2 linked regions of the Nothobranchius furzeri genome follow. The protein of the gene in region 1 interacts with the protein of each later gene in a biochemical or structural test. Links are inferred from orthologs where the notes say so. Each region holds a gene or a part of one and is shown in the gene's direction. Other genes may lie near its edges. The genes, in order: mlxip and mlx.

What was found.
Region 2: the proteins of mlxip (region 1) and mlx form a complex in vitro, tested with the Homo sapiens proteins (2 studies listed by BioGRID, with this or other methods). The link is inferred for Nothobranchius furzeri from reciprocal best matches to the Homo sapiens genes MLXIP and MLX.

Annotation. Positions count from the first base shown.
Region 1 is NC_091757.1:46,783,845-46,791,322, reverse strand, and holds the start of mlxip (MLX-interacting protein), read left to right. Parts: upstream 1-3,378; 5' UTR 3,379-3,662; coding exon 3,663-3,973; intron 3,974-7,478. UniProt on the Homo sapiens protein: Binds DNA as a heterodimer with MLX and activates transcription. Binds to the canonical E box sequence 5'-CACGTG-3'. Plays a role in transcriptional activation of glycolytic target genes. Involved in glucose-responsive gene regulation.
Region 2 is NC_091745.1:7,585,197-7,590,735, reverse strand, and holds the end of mlx (max-like protein X), read left to right. Parts: exon of another isoform or gene 1-7; coding exon of another isoform or gene 8-19; coding exon 20-56; intron 57-182; coding exon 183-272; intron 273-828; coding exon 829-938; intron 939-1,033; coding exon 1,034-1,136; intron 1,137-2,155; coding exon 2,156-2,255; intron 2,256-3,002; coding exon 3,003-3,204; intron 3,205-3,288; coding exon 3,289-3,345; 3' UTR 3,346-3,569; downstream 3,570-5,539. Other genes in the region: psmc3ip (homologous-pairing protein 2 homolog), read right to left, coding at 4,839-4,895, 4,966-5,025, 5,113-5,166, 5,245-5,390, 5,460-5,539. UniProt on the Homo sapiens protein: Transcription regulator. Forms a sequence-specific DNA-binding protein complex with MAD1, MAD4, MNT, WBSCR14 and MLXIP which recognizes the core sequence 5'-CACGTG-3'. The TCFL4-MAD1, TCFL4-MAD4, TCFL4-WBSCR14 complexes are transcriptional repressors.

The DNA of each region.
Region 1 (7,478 bases):
CGTCTGATTCCTCATAAAGCATTTGCCGTACCGTGCTCTGGTCAGGCTCAGGCAGGTGATCTAAATCAACATTTGGATGCCATCTTTCCTCCGCACTACCAGCACGGCCATTTTCCTTCCCATTACTTTGTTCTTCACTGGTTGGACTTGTTTGGGTAGCGCACAGAAGGGTGTCATGGTGTGGTTCTCCAGGCCCCTGTATCGTTGGATGGATGTTTACAGGCGTGCTTTCCACCACTTCTTCAATGGATCCTAACACTGCTTTTGGAGGTAAAAAAACCTCATGCCTTGTGGAATTCTGGATTGGTATTCTCACTATTTTTGAGGCGCCAGCCGGCACATCAACAAGCGCAGGAAATAACTCCAACCCATCTGGCATTTGCCAGTCTACATTGGGCTCAAACAACATGACTCCTCCTCCAGGAAAAGCTCTCATGCGGCATTTCACCTGACAGATCTGACTGCGGGGGATTGTGAGTCCCTTCTTTCCAACTCTTAATACTGGACATTCTGACTCTTCCAGGGGTGACTTTGTGTGAACCACTGACACCAGACTTTCAGCATTAATCTTCTGAATTCTCAGAGCTTCTGAAAGGAGACTTACTAAGTGGCCATCGTCTCTTTGATCACCATTCCCTGCAATCATCTCCTGTATCACATTGAAGCCTAGTAGCGGGCTGCTTAACCCTCCGCGACTTACTAGCATGGGAACATAAATAGCAACTGAGCCGTGCCTGCTACTTGTGATCTCAAGAAGAACTTCTATCCACCCTTCAAATGGCACCTCTGTACCATTAGCTGCAGTAACTTTGAGTGGGTGGTCTGAAAATAGGCTTTCTAGTGGCCTAATTGTCACGTTTGGTAAGGCTTTTTGCACCCAAGACTTCTCCACAATACTTACTTGGGCCCCACTATCCAACAACATTTGAAGTTTGACCCCATCAAGATAACAGGTTACCATACATCTACCCCCAATCAGCTGAGCGACACGCTCCCTTTTGGACGCTTGGCACGATCTGGAGGTCTTGGTTGAAGAAGAACTTTTCTCTTTGGAATGCTGCTTCTCTGGGATTGGGGACTCTGCATTCTCCAAGGTCACTGGTGGTCCCCCCCCAGCGACCTCACCCGGTTTCCCGACAGAGTTCCCTTTTGTAAGCAGCCAATAGCTCTGTGTCCCTCTTTTCCACATCGGAAGCAGTGTGAGCAGACGTCGTTTCCTTGGGATACACATTGGTGACATTTCCCTTTAACTTCAGGCTTGGCTGACTGTTTGATGTGGGGAAAAGAGTTGTAAGTGTTTTCGGTCGCCACATTCGCTACTGGTGTGAGGGCTTTCTCCAAACTTTTGGCCAAAGATGACACTTGGGCTGTTAACTCCTGTATCGCATTGCGATTGGCCTGCACCTCTGCCTGCACTTGAGTGGCGTTCTGTTTATCACTGTCCAGCTGGGCTGTGTTGATACTGATTGCTTTTTGTTTGTATACCTGTCCCAACCTGGTTTTCCTCTCAGTGTCCTCCCTCAGTGATCTTGTGATCACCTCAAGTATAAAGTCATCAGTCACATTCATGTCTGAAATATGTGGTTTAAGATCTCGTCTGATGTATGAGCATTTTTCATTCATCCCCTGGTAAAGTGAATGAAGAAACACCCCCTGCACCAGTTTACCATCATATTGAAAGTCTGTACCTTGTTTAGAAGCAAACATTATACGCTGCTTGACCCCCATTAGTCTATACATAAACTGTTGTGGGCTTTCTTTGTCATTTTGCTTTGCGTTACTTAGTTCCTGGAACAATTCAGTGCTGCTTTTATCCCTAAGATGTGCTTTAAGGAACCTTGTTAACTCAGCAAGAGTCAGGGTGTCTTTGGTCATGAGCATATCTTTAAAGGTACCAGGCTTAATTACCTTGAGCACGGTTCTGACAACCTCAGTTTCTGAGAACCCCTCAGCTAGACCTTCATCAATTTGTTTACATAGACAGTTAAAACTCAAATCAGAAGCTGAGTCTGAGATTTGACCACCATGTATCTTAAACTCTCTATGTGGTAACAATGCCGCAACATCTGTCAATTTCACTAAACCAGTTACAGGATCAGCAATCACTGATGTTGAGACTCTCTTATTCATTACTGATGCCACTACTGCTGGTTCAGTCTCTGGTACAGCCACAGCATCCCCTTCATCAGAAGCTTGACCACGTTCAACAGTTACCTGGGATGCTTGCAGGTCATCAATGAGGTCACGAAATGCAAGCAGACGAGACATGCCCTGATCTTCGAGGCTCTTCAGTCGTTTACTTCTCAGAAAGTCAACGATAAAGTCAAAGAGCTCCACCTCGGTTGCATCCTCACCGGGAGCATCTTCCACCTCTTCTTCTTGACACCATACTGCAAGTTTATGTAGCAGGTCCCTGTTAGCGGCTCTGGTCAGCTGATGAAGCTGGTTCTGGATCTCCCACTGTAGGTCATGTAGAGTGGCCATGTCTGGATACCTGGCGTCAACCGTCACTACTGTTGTGCATCAGAAGGATATGGATCCCGCGATTCTTGGCTGATTAGCACCTGACCACCATGGTGCTAATCCCGGACGAGCCCCCAGAATTGTTGCCTCCCTAAGATGATGACCAGAGGGGCAACTGGTTTCCTGTTCAATAACGTGTGTCTGTGATAAAGAATAGAAAAAGGGACACACGTTGAGCTGATGTCAGTTTCACAACAGGAAGGTTTATTCTTCCTCTGTGCCCCAAAACGCTACTCGATACCACTGCGCGTAATGCGCCCTCTAGCGGCTGTATGCGGAATAGCATTGTAAACTGACAGGTACACACATACAATCATAACAGTTTTCCCCATCTTATTTCTGATACCAGATTTTACTAGAAAGCTATTTTCAACTCTCTACATCAGTCATTGACATCCAGTCCTGACTGGATAAAATTCTGTTTTTGTTACATTATGTTCAGTATGGTAAATTCAGCTGTCACGTAAAAACATCAAATCAATGAATTTATCCAGGGGCAGAGCATTCAAACTGTTTTATCAATAATGTAACTGTTTCCGTCTTGGCACTGGATATGCATTATGCAGACACAACTTCTGGCTTTTAAAATAAAAACTATCATTGAGAATAAAAGCTCTAAAATCAGCCAACTTCATAATTACTGTTGGCAAGATATTCAAAATCTAAGGGACTTTGGAAAGCAATAACACCTAAAATAATACTTGTTTTTGTTTACCAGAGATTTCACTGTGTATTTGGCTTGGAGAATAATAGCTATAAGAGAAGACTGTCTTGTCTTGTGCCGCTTCTGTTTATTTTGGGCATCATGTTGTGGGCGTGGCTATAACTAACCAATCAGAAACGCTGAAACAAAGGAACTTCCTGTTCCACAGAGAGGAACAGCTTTTTGTCAGCTGGTTTACAGCTACGTCAACTACCTAAACAAAGCTCATAAGTTTACACGGGCCGCTGAATGACCTGGAGCCGGCTGGATTATGGATTAAGTGACAACTCCGCATACATGGCACGGAGTTGGGCAACTTTAAAAACCGGACTCGAACGCGGCGCCACTGGCCAGCTTCATGAAAGGGACGGTGTTATTGTCCTAGCTCGCTGGCTAACGTTAGCTATTTGTTTGCACCGATACGGCTAGCAGGGAGATGTATCAGCGGCAGGCGGACCTTCGGCCGGCGGTCAACGTAAAGCAGGAGCAGGATGATGACTCGGACACGGAGGAGAGCCAGCTGCTGGGGCTACGGAGGGCGGACGGACTGGAGTCCCAGATCATCCACAGCGGACACTTTATGGTGTCGTCGCCTCACTGCGAGCACCCCCCGAAGAAGGGCTACGACTTCGACACTGTGAACAAACAGACCTGCCAGACGTATCATTTTGGCAAGGCGAGCATGTCGCACCTCTCTATCGACGCGTCCCTGACTAAACTCTTTGAATGCATGACCCTCGCCTACAGGTAAGCTGCTACACTCACCTGTCACATGGGCACTTTTACTTTAGCCCAGTGTGGTATCCAGTCACACTCACGAGTCTAATATTCATGTCATTTCCTGTTGGACCAGTCATCTGAAGAAGTTTGCAAGTATCAGCAAAAATGAAAGTAGTCTGCGAAGTAAACACCTCCTTTCACACGTTTTACACCCAACTATATTAAGTTGTGCAATAATTGTTAGCATGAGGACTAATTGATGCGCAGTAACTTTGTCTAAACCAAAAAAGATATAAATTAAAATGTATTTAATGTTTTAAACAAATCTAATTAGACTTGTGTTGGTATTTTATTTGAGAGTGGACATTGTAAGACCAATAGGATCAGTTGAGTAGCATTATTGAGCCAAAATGAGCTTATAGGCTACGTTTTTTATATCTTGTTACAAATTAAAGGCAACACGATGACATCTGTCATGATATGATGTGTAATGTTATTGCTGAGCTTTTTGGAGTCTCGTATTGACGTAGAGGAGTGAGAAAATTAGCTAAATTAACAATAGTTTGGTAATAATGACTCGTTTTTACATCAGCTGTCTGAGTAATCAGCTTTTGTATTAATTTTAAAAATTAGTGCAAGAAAATGTATGATTTCAAAAGCAGTTTTTAAGTTTTTCAAACAGTTGCACCACTGATTTTGCACATAATCAATAACAGTTTGGCTTTTGGTTTTGTACCGATGGATTAAAAAAACGTTATTCACCCACTTTTAAAAAAACTGGATTGGATGCTTCCTTACCAGTGAATTATAGGCCAATCTCCAAGCTCCCTTTTTTGGGTAAGAAGCTTGAAAAATGTGTCTATACTCAACTCCTGGACTTCTTTAAGGACGTTGATATTTTAGAGACCCTCCAATCAGGTTTTAACATGTTGCATTGTACCAAGACTGCCCTTATAAAGGTCATTAACATTCTTTTAGCAACAGATGGTGGCAGTCCAGTGCTGCTGGTCCTATTGGATCTTACAGCAGCTTTCGATACCGTAGACCAGGAAGTGTTGCTCCATCGCCTTGAACATTATGTGGGAATTTCTGGGCAAGCCCTAAATTGGTTTAGATCATGTTTACATGACAGGATGGTTTGTGTGAGGATGGGTGGTTTCTCATCGGGCTTCTCACATCTGCCATGGGGGATACCGCAGGGTTCAATACTGGGACACTTGCTGTTTTCATTTTATATTCTCCCATTGGGTGACATTTTACGAAAGTTTGGAATTGGATTCCATCTCTATGCTGACGACTGCCAATTGTACTTGCCTCTACATGGCGCCGGTGATCACACGATAAAACATTTTTTTGGATTGTCTGGCAGAAATAAAGATATGGTTGGCAGAAAACTTCCTGTGTCTCAATGGGAAAAAAACAGAGGCACTGTTGTTTGGTCCGAGTGGACATGTTGATTTTTCAAACGTAGACTGCGTGAACTGAACTCCTATTTGGGTGTTTCAGCAGTCAGTCTTGGCTTGAAGATGGACAGTGCATTCTGCATGGATGCTCATGTGGGTACTGTAGTATCCTCTTCATTTTATCATTTAAGACGTTTGGCTGAAGTAAAGCCGTTTTTATCTAGACGTGGCCTTGAGACTGTTGTTCATGCTTTTATTATCTCACGACTCGACTATTGTAATTCCGTTTTATTTGGGTACTGTAAACCGGCTGCAGCTTGTCCAGAATGCTGCAGCAAGACTCTTGGACAACAAAAGGAAGCATGAACACGTGACACCAATTTTGGCTGCTCTCCACTGGTTGCCTGTTGATTTTAGAATTTGTTTTAAACTTCTTTTAATGGTGTTTAAGGCGCTGAATGGTGTGGCTCCAGCCTATTTGACGGAGTTGCTGCAGCCATATGTTCCGGGCCGGTCACTCCGCTCTGAGAACCAGCTGCTGCTTGTTGCTCCTAAGGCTAGGTTGAAGTTGGGAGGGGACAGGGCGTGTTCTCTGTTGCAGGTCCGAAACTGTGGAACGCACTGCCCCTAACTATTAGGGGCTCTCCATCAGTAGCAGTTTTTAAAATGAGGCTGAAGTCCTACTTTTATGATCTGGCTTTTAATTCTGTGGGTTAGCAATTGTTAATGTTTTATATTTCGTAATTCTTATTTGTGGTTTTAATTATGTCTGTAGCGCTATATGTTTTATTGTTTTATTCTTTTGTTGTACAGCACCTTGGTGGCATGCTCATGCCTGTAAAGTGCTTTATAAATAAAGGCTGAGTTGAGTTGAGGAAGCTTGAAATCATTTGAGGGGGAAATCTATAAAAATGTATGATTTAAAAAGCAGTTTTTAAGTTTTCTTCATCCTCAAACACTCAGTATTTTTAATAACATTTTTTCTCTGCATAAGTTGATAATTCAGCCATGGACAATGTTGAAATAATACTTATACACATGTTTCAGATCAGTCTTTGTTATTTCTTGAATTATCCAACACACTCGAGTAGGGGTAGACCGACATGTACCGTCGGCAATGGCCGATCTAAAGTCAAGCACAACCTCAGGCAGCCTGGTGCTGTTGCAGAATTTAATTTAAATATATTTTACATTCACCAATAACATCTGCATAATAAATACTCCAATTTAACTTTATTTAGGTGTCTGACTTTAACACTGAAAAGTGCACAAGTTGAGGTTTGTTAGTTAAATTCAGAGTTCAAAAACTGATTCAGCTTCTGACATTTTGTGCATCAACTGGTGTCGTTAGTGACATTTAAGCATGAAAATAGGATGGAAAACACCTGAATATCGGCCATGAAAATCAGACCATAAAAATTGGCAGGACCCATCGGTCATCGTTTGATCATGTCTCCTACATATCGGTATCGGCAATAGAAAAACCAATATCGGTCGACCTCTACTCTAGGGTCCAAAATTAATTTGTATTAGTAGGTCAGTCATAAGCAATTTTAATAATTATTATTTGATAAATGCTTGTGACAGTAACATTCATCCTTGTACTTTTTAATTAACAAAATACCAGAAATCTTATTTCAAATTTTTTTCTTTCAAAATGCACTGAAACCACATAATTGACATTGCCTCACCATGTGAAACCAGGGTTATTATTTACATGTGCAAAAGCATTTTACATAAATGTTAATAGAAATTCAGCTGATGGTAGTAAGATATTAATTGTACGGCTCATGTTACTCCTGGTTTTCTATTTACAGTTGCAGTCTTGGTGCCAGCTGGTAGAAGGATTCCCTCGGACTAAACTTCTCACTCACAGGAATAGACCAGTTGCTTATTTTTGTTGTCATCGTTCATCTTACAAAAATGATCTCGAGTTTGTTTGTTTGTTACAGTTTTTAGCGTTAATCCTCAGTAAAGAACAGGAATGCTATTTTCTCCGACACTCACGCAGCTTGCTATTGTCATTCTGTAACCAAACCGGGACACACACGCACACACTCCGATGACCTGGATTGTCAGGATACTGTTTCACTTGCATGATCCTGTGAACACAAACCAATCACCTTTGG
Region 2 (5,539 bases), on another chromosome or scaffold:
CTTGGTGATGGCTGGACAGACAGACGGGGCTTTCAGTGACAGTGGGTTTGACACAAGTGAGTCATTTTTACTTTTCTAATGAATGCTTTTTCATTTTCACATAGCACATGATTAATTAAATCATTTTTGTTAATGGTGGGTTTATTTTTAACCCTTTTTATAAAATCTGGGTTGTTTTCCAGGTTTCTTTGCTGAAACTGCTAGAAAGGGAAGCATTGTTTCCAGAGCCAACAGTATCGGCTCAACCAGTGCCTCTTCAGTACCAAATACAGGTATCGTGTTTAAAACACAGATGATTTTATCTTGCTGATAGTTTATAAGTGTGAACGTGCCTTTTGACTACTCCTTATCCTTAAAGAAAAGGTTGAAACAACAAATCACAGAGATGGTGCCTTTATTTATTTTGTTTCCTGTCTCACATTCAAACACAAACCTGTCTGGTGAGTCTTGATGGTATTTCGTCTCATGCTTTAAAATCTAGTCTGGGAAGGTGAACTTGCCATATTTAATAAATAAACTCTCTATGTTCTACCTTTTTGCATTTGCTAAAAATCCGTCTATAATTTGACCGGACTGAAGCAAACATATATTTGCTGCTGAAACAGAAACAGCCCTGTGTTATATTGTAGAAGGAGCCAACACAAAAATGATGCAAGTTTTCATTCGATTTTAAGATTTACAAAATTAAAAACATCCGTCCATTTTTTCTCATTTTAAACTTGATTTAAATAATTTCTGTTTTTAAACTGACACCAGATATGTAAGCAAGAAAATAATTGCAAATGAGTTCATTGAGAGTACAGATGTCAGAGGCTTGTTCCCAAACAGATGATGAAGACAGCGATTACAGGCACGAGACGTCATTTAAAGACTCCTTTAAAGATCGCCGGAGACAAGCACACACTCAAGCTGAGCAAAAGCGCAGAGATGCAATCAAGGTAGGACTTCAGGACTCCAACTGACACACTTTATAAGAGTTAGATTTAAAATTCTGGCTGTTTAAGAGTTAATATTGATTTCTATGTGTCATTAGAAAGGCTATGGTGACCTGCAGTCCATCGTTCCTACGTGCCAGCAGCAGTCTGAGTTTGCAGTTGGAGCCCAGAAGATCAGCAAGGCTACTGTTCTGCAGAAAAGTAGGAACCTTTTGCAATTTGAACATTTTTACACTGAACTGTTGGTAGAAAAAAAGAACTCTGTACAAACAATAATAAAACCTTTTAGTTATTTTAAAATGTGCAGGTTATGCGTGAGACATGATGAATAGCCCTCCCTGCTGCTGTTCTTCAACTTTATTAGCCATAAAATAACAAATCAGACACTGTTAATAGGCTGAGCAGTTTGCATATATTTAAAGTAAACCTCCAGCCGCTGCCTGGGGAGGCTCCGACTCGATCTCTTGATCAGGAATCATTCGGAATCAGGTGGGAAAGGACGTGACCTTTTACATTCATCCTTATACAAATTTTTAAACTGAATAACAATGGCTTAGGTTGAATTTGAACAAGTTCTGCTACGTCAATATTCTTTGTTTCATAGAGAGAAACGTCACAAAATTTACAGACGTGGAGTTCAGACACTATAACATGTAGCTGTTAGCTAGCAGGCTAACACAGAGCTAACGTGTCGCCGTCAAGATGGTTGCAAACGTCGGGTCTCCTGGAGCCGCGGTGAGTTTCCTTCTCGTCACACGCAGCTCTGCAGGTGTTGAGCAGAGAAAAGTGAGTCTGCCGACCGTGCACATCATGCCATGCACATCACTCAGCACGGCGACGAGGCACCTTATCTGTTATTAATAATATATTCATATTATTAACATACTTTTAATCAATTCACTTCTTGAACGAGTGATTTATTTGGCAAATAAATTAAGGAAATGACAAAAATACCAGAAGAAATAAAGATGAATAATAAAGAGGAGAACTTGGATGTATTCTTTTTTCTTATTTTAATTGCGTTGCTGAAGTATCGGATCGGGACACGGTATCAGCACATACTCGCAATCACATGACTGGGATCAGGAGAACATAAACGTTCTTGTTTAAACAAATGCTCATTTACAAAATGGAGAAGTTGTAACGACACCCCCACGTTTAAACTTCCGGTGTTGTAAAGAAGTCGCTGGTTGATGCTTTTCTGTATTTTATGGCTTTAGCTATCGACTACATCCATTTTCTTCACAAAGAAAAGAAGAAGCAAGAGGAGGAAGTTTCCATCCTGAGGAAAGAAGTGATGGCGCTTAAGATAATGAAAACGTAAGACGGGTTTTTATTGGACTATCTTTCTACCTGAGACTTGTGTAAACACATCCCAGTCCTGTCTGACCAGTGGTGTGGAGGACACATTAGGACCTCAGAAGTGACGAGCATGGACGGGGGCAAATGAGACTGATCCTCTAGGTCTGATCTGAGGCTTAAAGTGACAGTGTGTATTTTTCCTGGCGATAGGGGGCAGTAGATACCTGAATTGTTGCAATCAAGCTGTATTTTTGTGTTGGGAGTAAGACCTTACCAACAGATGCCCATTAGGGTCAAAAAGCCCTGGGGAGTGCAGACTTCAGCAAAATGACAAGCACATCAGACTCCCTTTCATCAGTGACAATGAGTAAAGAGGTAAACGTGTAAAACAACGTTTATGAACGGTGAAGTTTTAGTAAGCACTTGTTACAAATCAGTAATTGCATTTTGCCCTCAAGGGCTCCTGTAGCAGCCAGGAAACATGGCGTCTAATACGACTTAGACCCGCTCCCATGTAATGTAGACTGGACTTTTATGGTTACATGTTAAGAATCTGCCAATATTTTTCAACAACTGGGCACCATTTAATTTATTTTCAACAACATTTCGATGGATATTTCCAGAGATTAACGATAAAAACGGCACATTGTCCCTTTAAATACCTAGAAGTGTTAAAGGCAGTAAGGAAATTCAGTGGAACCATCTGGGATATTAAGAAAGGCAGGGTTTGTGGTGTTGTTCTGAACCTGCTGTCTTTCCCAACAGGAACTATGAGCACATAGTGAAGGCCCACCAGAACAACCCGCAGCAGGGAGAAGATCAGGTGTCTGACCAGGTCAAATTCAACCTTTTTCAGAACATCATGGACTCCCTGTTTGTGTCCTTCAGCAACTCGGTTTCAGTGAGCAGCTTCCAGGAACTGTCAGCCTGTGTTTTCAGCTGGATCGAGGAGCACTGCAAGCCACAGGTAAGGAACGCCACCGGCGCGTCCTTCTCAGCAAACCAGATCGCTCAGCTGAGATAATTTAGTGCTTTTTCTGCTCTGCCTCAGACGCTGCAGGAGTCTGTTGTCGGCGTGCTCCGGCAGCTCAACGGCCAGCTTTATTGATCGAGGAGAAGCCTCCGGCTAACTTCCAGAAAATGACTTTTGACTTGCTCTTGCCTCTCTGGATGGAGCAAACCCTTCAGGCCGTGCAGTATTCGCACGCGTCAGCCCATCGGTGACTCTGCGCCTGCGTGTTGATTACCTCATCGTGTTTTCTTAGCAGGAATTTAAAAAAAGCTGCCTTCAGCCACTTTCTGACCGTGTTTACATTCCCATAGAGCTGAGTGTAAAACACGAGAAAATTTCAACTTATGCTTTCAAACAGAAAAATGTTAGCACACATTTTAGCCTCATCGCTACAAAAATCTGACTTATTCCATTTATTTATACATGTGGTCCTTTTTTCCGGCGCAGCACGTCTGCCATTCCTGTCAACGGTCACTGCTCCAACGCTGAACGCAGCTTCTGTGGCGCCTCAGAGAAACACACTGGTGGTTTTAAAGTCCTCTGCCTTCAGTGTGGCGGTAAATAAATGGTTAGTTCCAAGAATGAGGCGGATAAATGTTGTAAATATGCCACAGGTCTCCAACAGGCTTTAGTGTTTAGTCACAGTTTAGCTGCAGGTGACCTGTCAAAAAGGTTCATTTAGCAGGTGTTGATTTTAATGAGCCTTCTTTGAATTTCAGCCCGATTTTAAATGCTGTCGTGTTTTCATGATCCGTGACGTCGCTCTGTGCTACAGTGAAAGCAGAAACTCTAAAATGCATCAGTTTGTTTTTTTTATTCCAAACCTCTGACTCTAGATTCTCTAGGATCAGCAGCAGATTTGAACGTTTTGTTCTTGTGGACATGATCTGCTGCGGAAGTCTGGCTCGTTTCATGTTCTAATATTTTTCTGTTTGAAATGTTTAAAAGGTTACGCACAGATAAAAACACACAGCCACTAAAGTCTCTCTAGTTTTTCCCGTAACGTCAAAACTGCACTCTTCCCTCTGCCCTGTTGTGTATATGTTCAGTGGACTGCTGCTGATGCTGTTTTGATGACATCGCATGGTGGCCGGTGGTGAATTAATCACCATCAGGAGAGAAACTTCAATTTATGGACTTAATATTTTATTTGCATACGAGAACATAAAGTGCAAAACCAACAGCAGAAAAGGGCAGGATCGTAGTTTTGTAGTGGTGACCAGCGAATGAGCCCAAAGCAGTTTTGGCAGTATTAACAACTGTGAAAATGTTGATTTAGAAACAGCTGAACAGTTCACTCTATATAATAATGTATGCAGCAAACTATCTGAAGCCTGTTAGAGGTTTGAATCATTTGCTGACTTTCTATGTAAGCTCAGGATAATGAAGATGCTTTAAAGGGGAGAAAACACCACAGTTGCCTTTAGGGTCACAATCAGCCCTCGATGCAGTAGCTACATGTAGTCTAGCCAATAAGAATGCTAACTTTTGTACAAATGTGTTTGATTTTTTTTCCTTTTATTATTTATTCGAAAGAAATGTTAAATAAAGTGGCTCAAAAAGCTCCGATGTGTGGTCCACTTCCTTGTTCAAGAACTTGGAACCACCACCTTACAGTCCTCGTCCGTCTCCACGCCAACCTCTTCCTGTAGAAGAACAAAGCTTGGAGGATTTGTTTTTCCATGTAGGAAATGTGATGTTGCTTCTTCAGCTCACCAGGAACTCCTTTTTGCTCTTTGGATATCCCTCCAGGATGGCGTTCATCATCTCTGAAGCCTGACAGACCCAAATAATTATTAAATGCTCGTTGCTGAAAACGTATCTGGTGTGAAGGCATTTCTAACTCCAAATGAATACATGTACCAATCTCTTCCTCTTTTTCCACTCCTTCACATAAACCTCTTGCTCTTTGTAAACCTGCAAATGAAAACATGAACGTGTGTTTCAGGGGAAAGCAGACCACCTCGCCAGAACGGAGACTTTATAGGTGCACACCTTCTCCTTCTCCTCTGGTGTGACATGGTTCGTAGCTGACTTGATCTTCTCCACGCGTGCTCTGTATCCAGAGCACTCCGCTTTCAGCTCTTTAATCTCTGCCACCATCTCTTCTGTAGTGAGCGAACTGTTCAGGCCCTTCAGCTCTGTCATAAACAAGAGTTAAACTCTGGGTCAAGCTGCAACAAGAGGCACCAGTCAGCAGGGTCCTGTACCTGCGTCTAGCTGTCTGCAGCTCTGTGTGAGGGACTGCAGCTCTGCACCAAGCTCTGAGATCTGACCATCCATCGCTTTC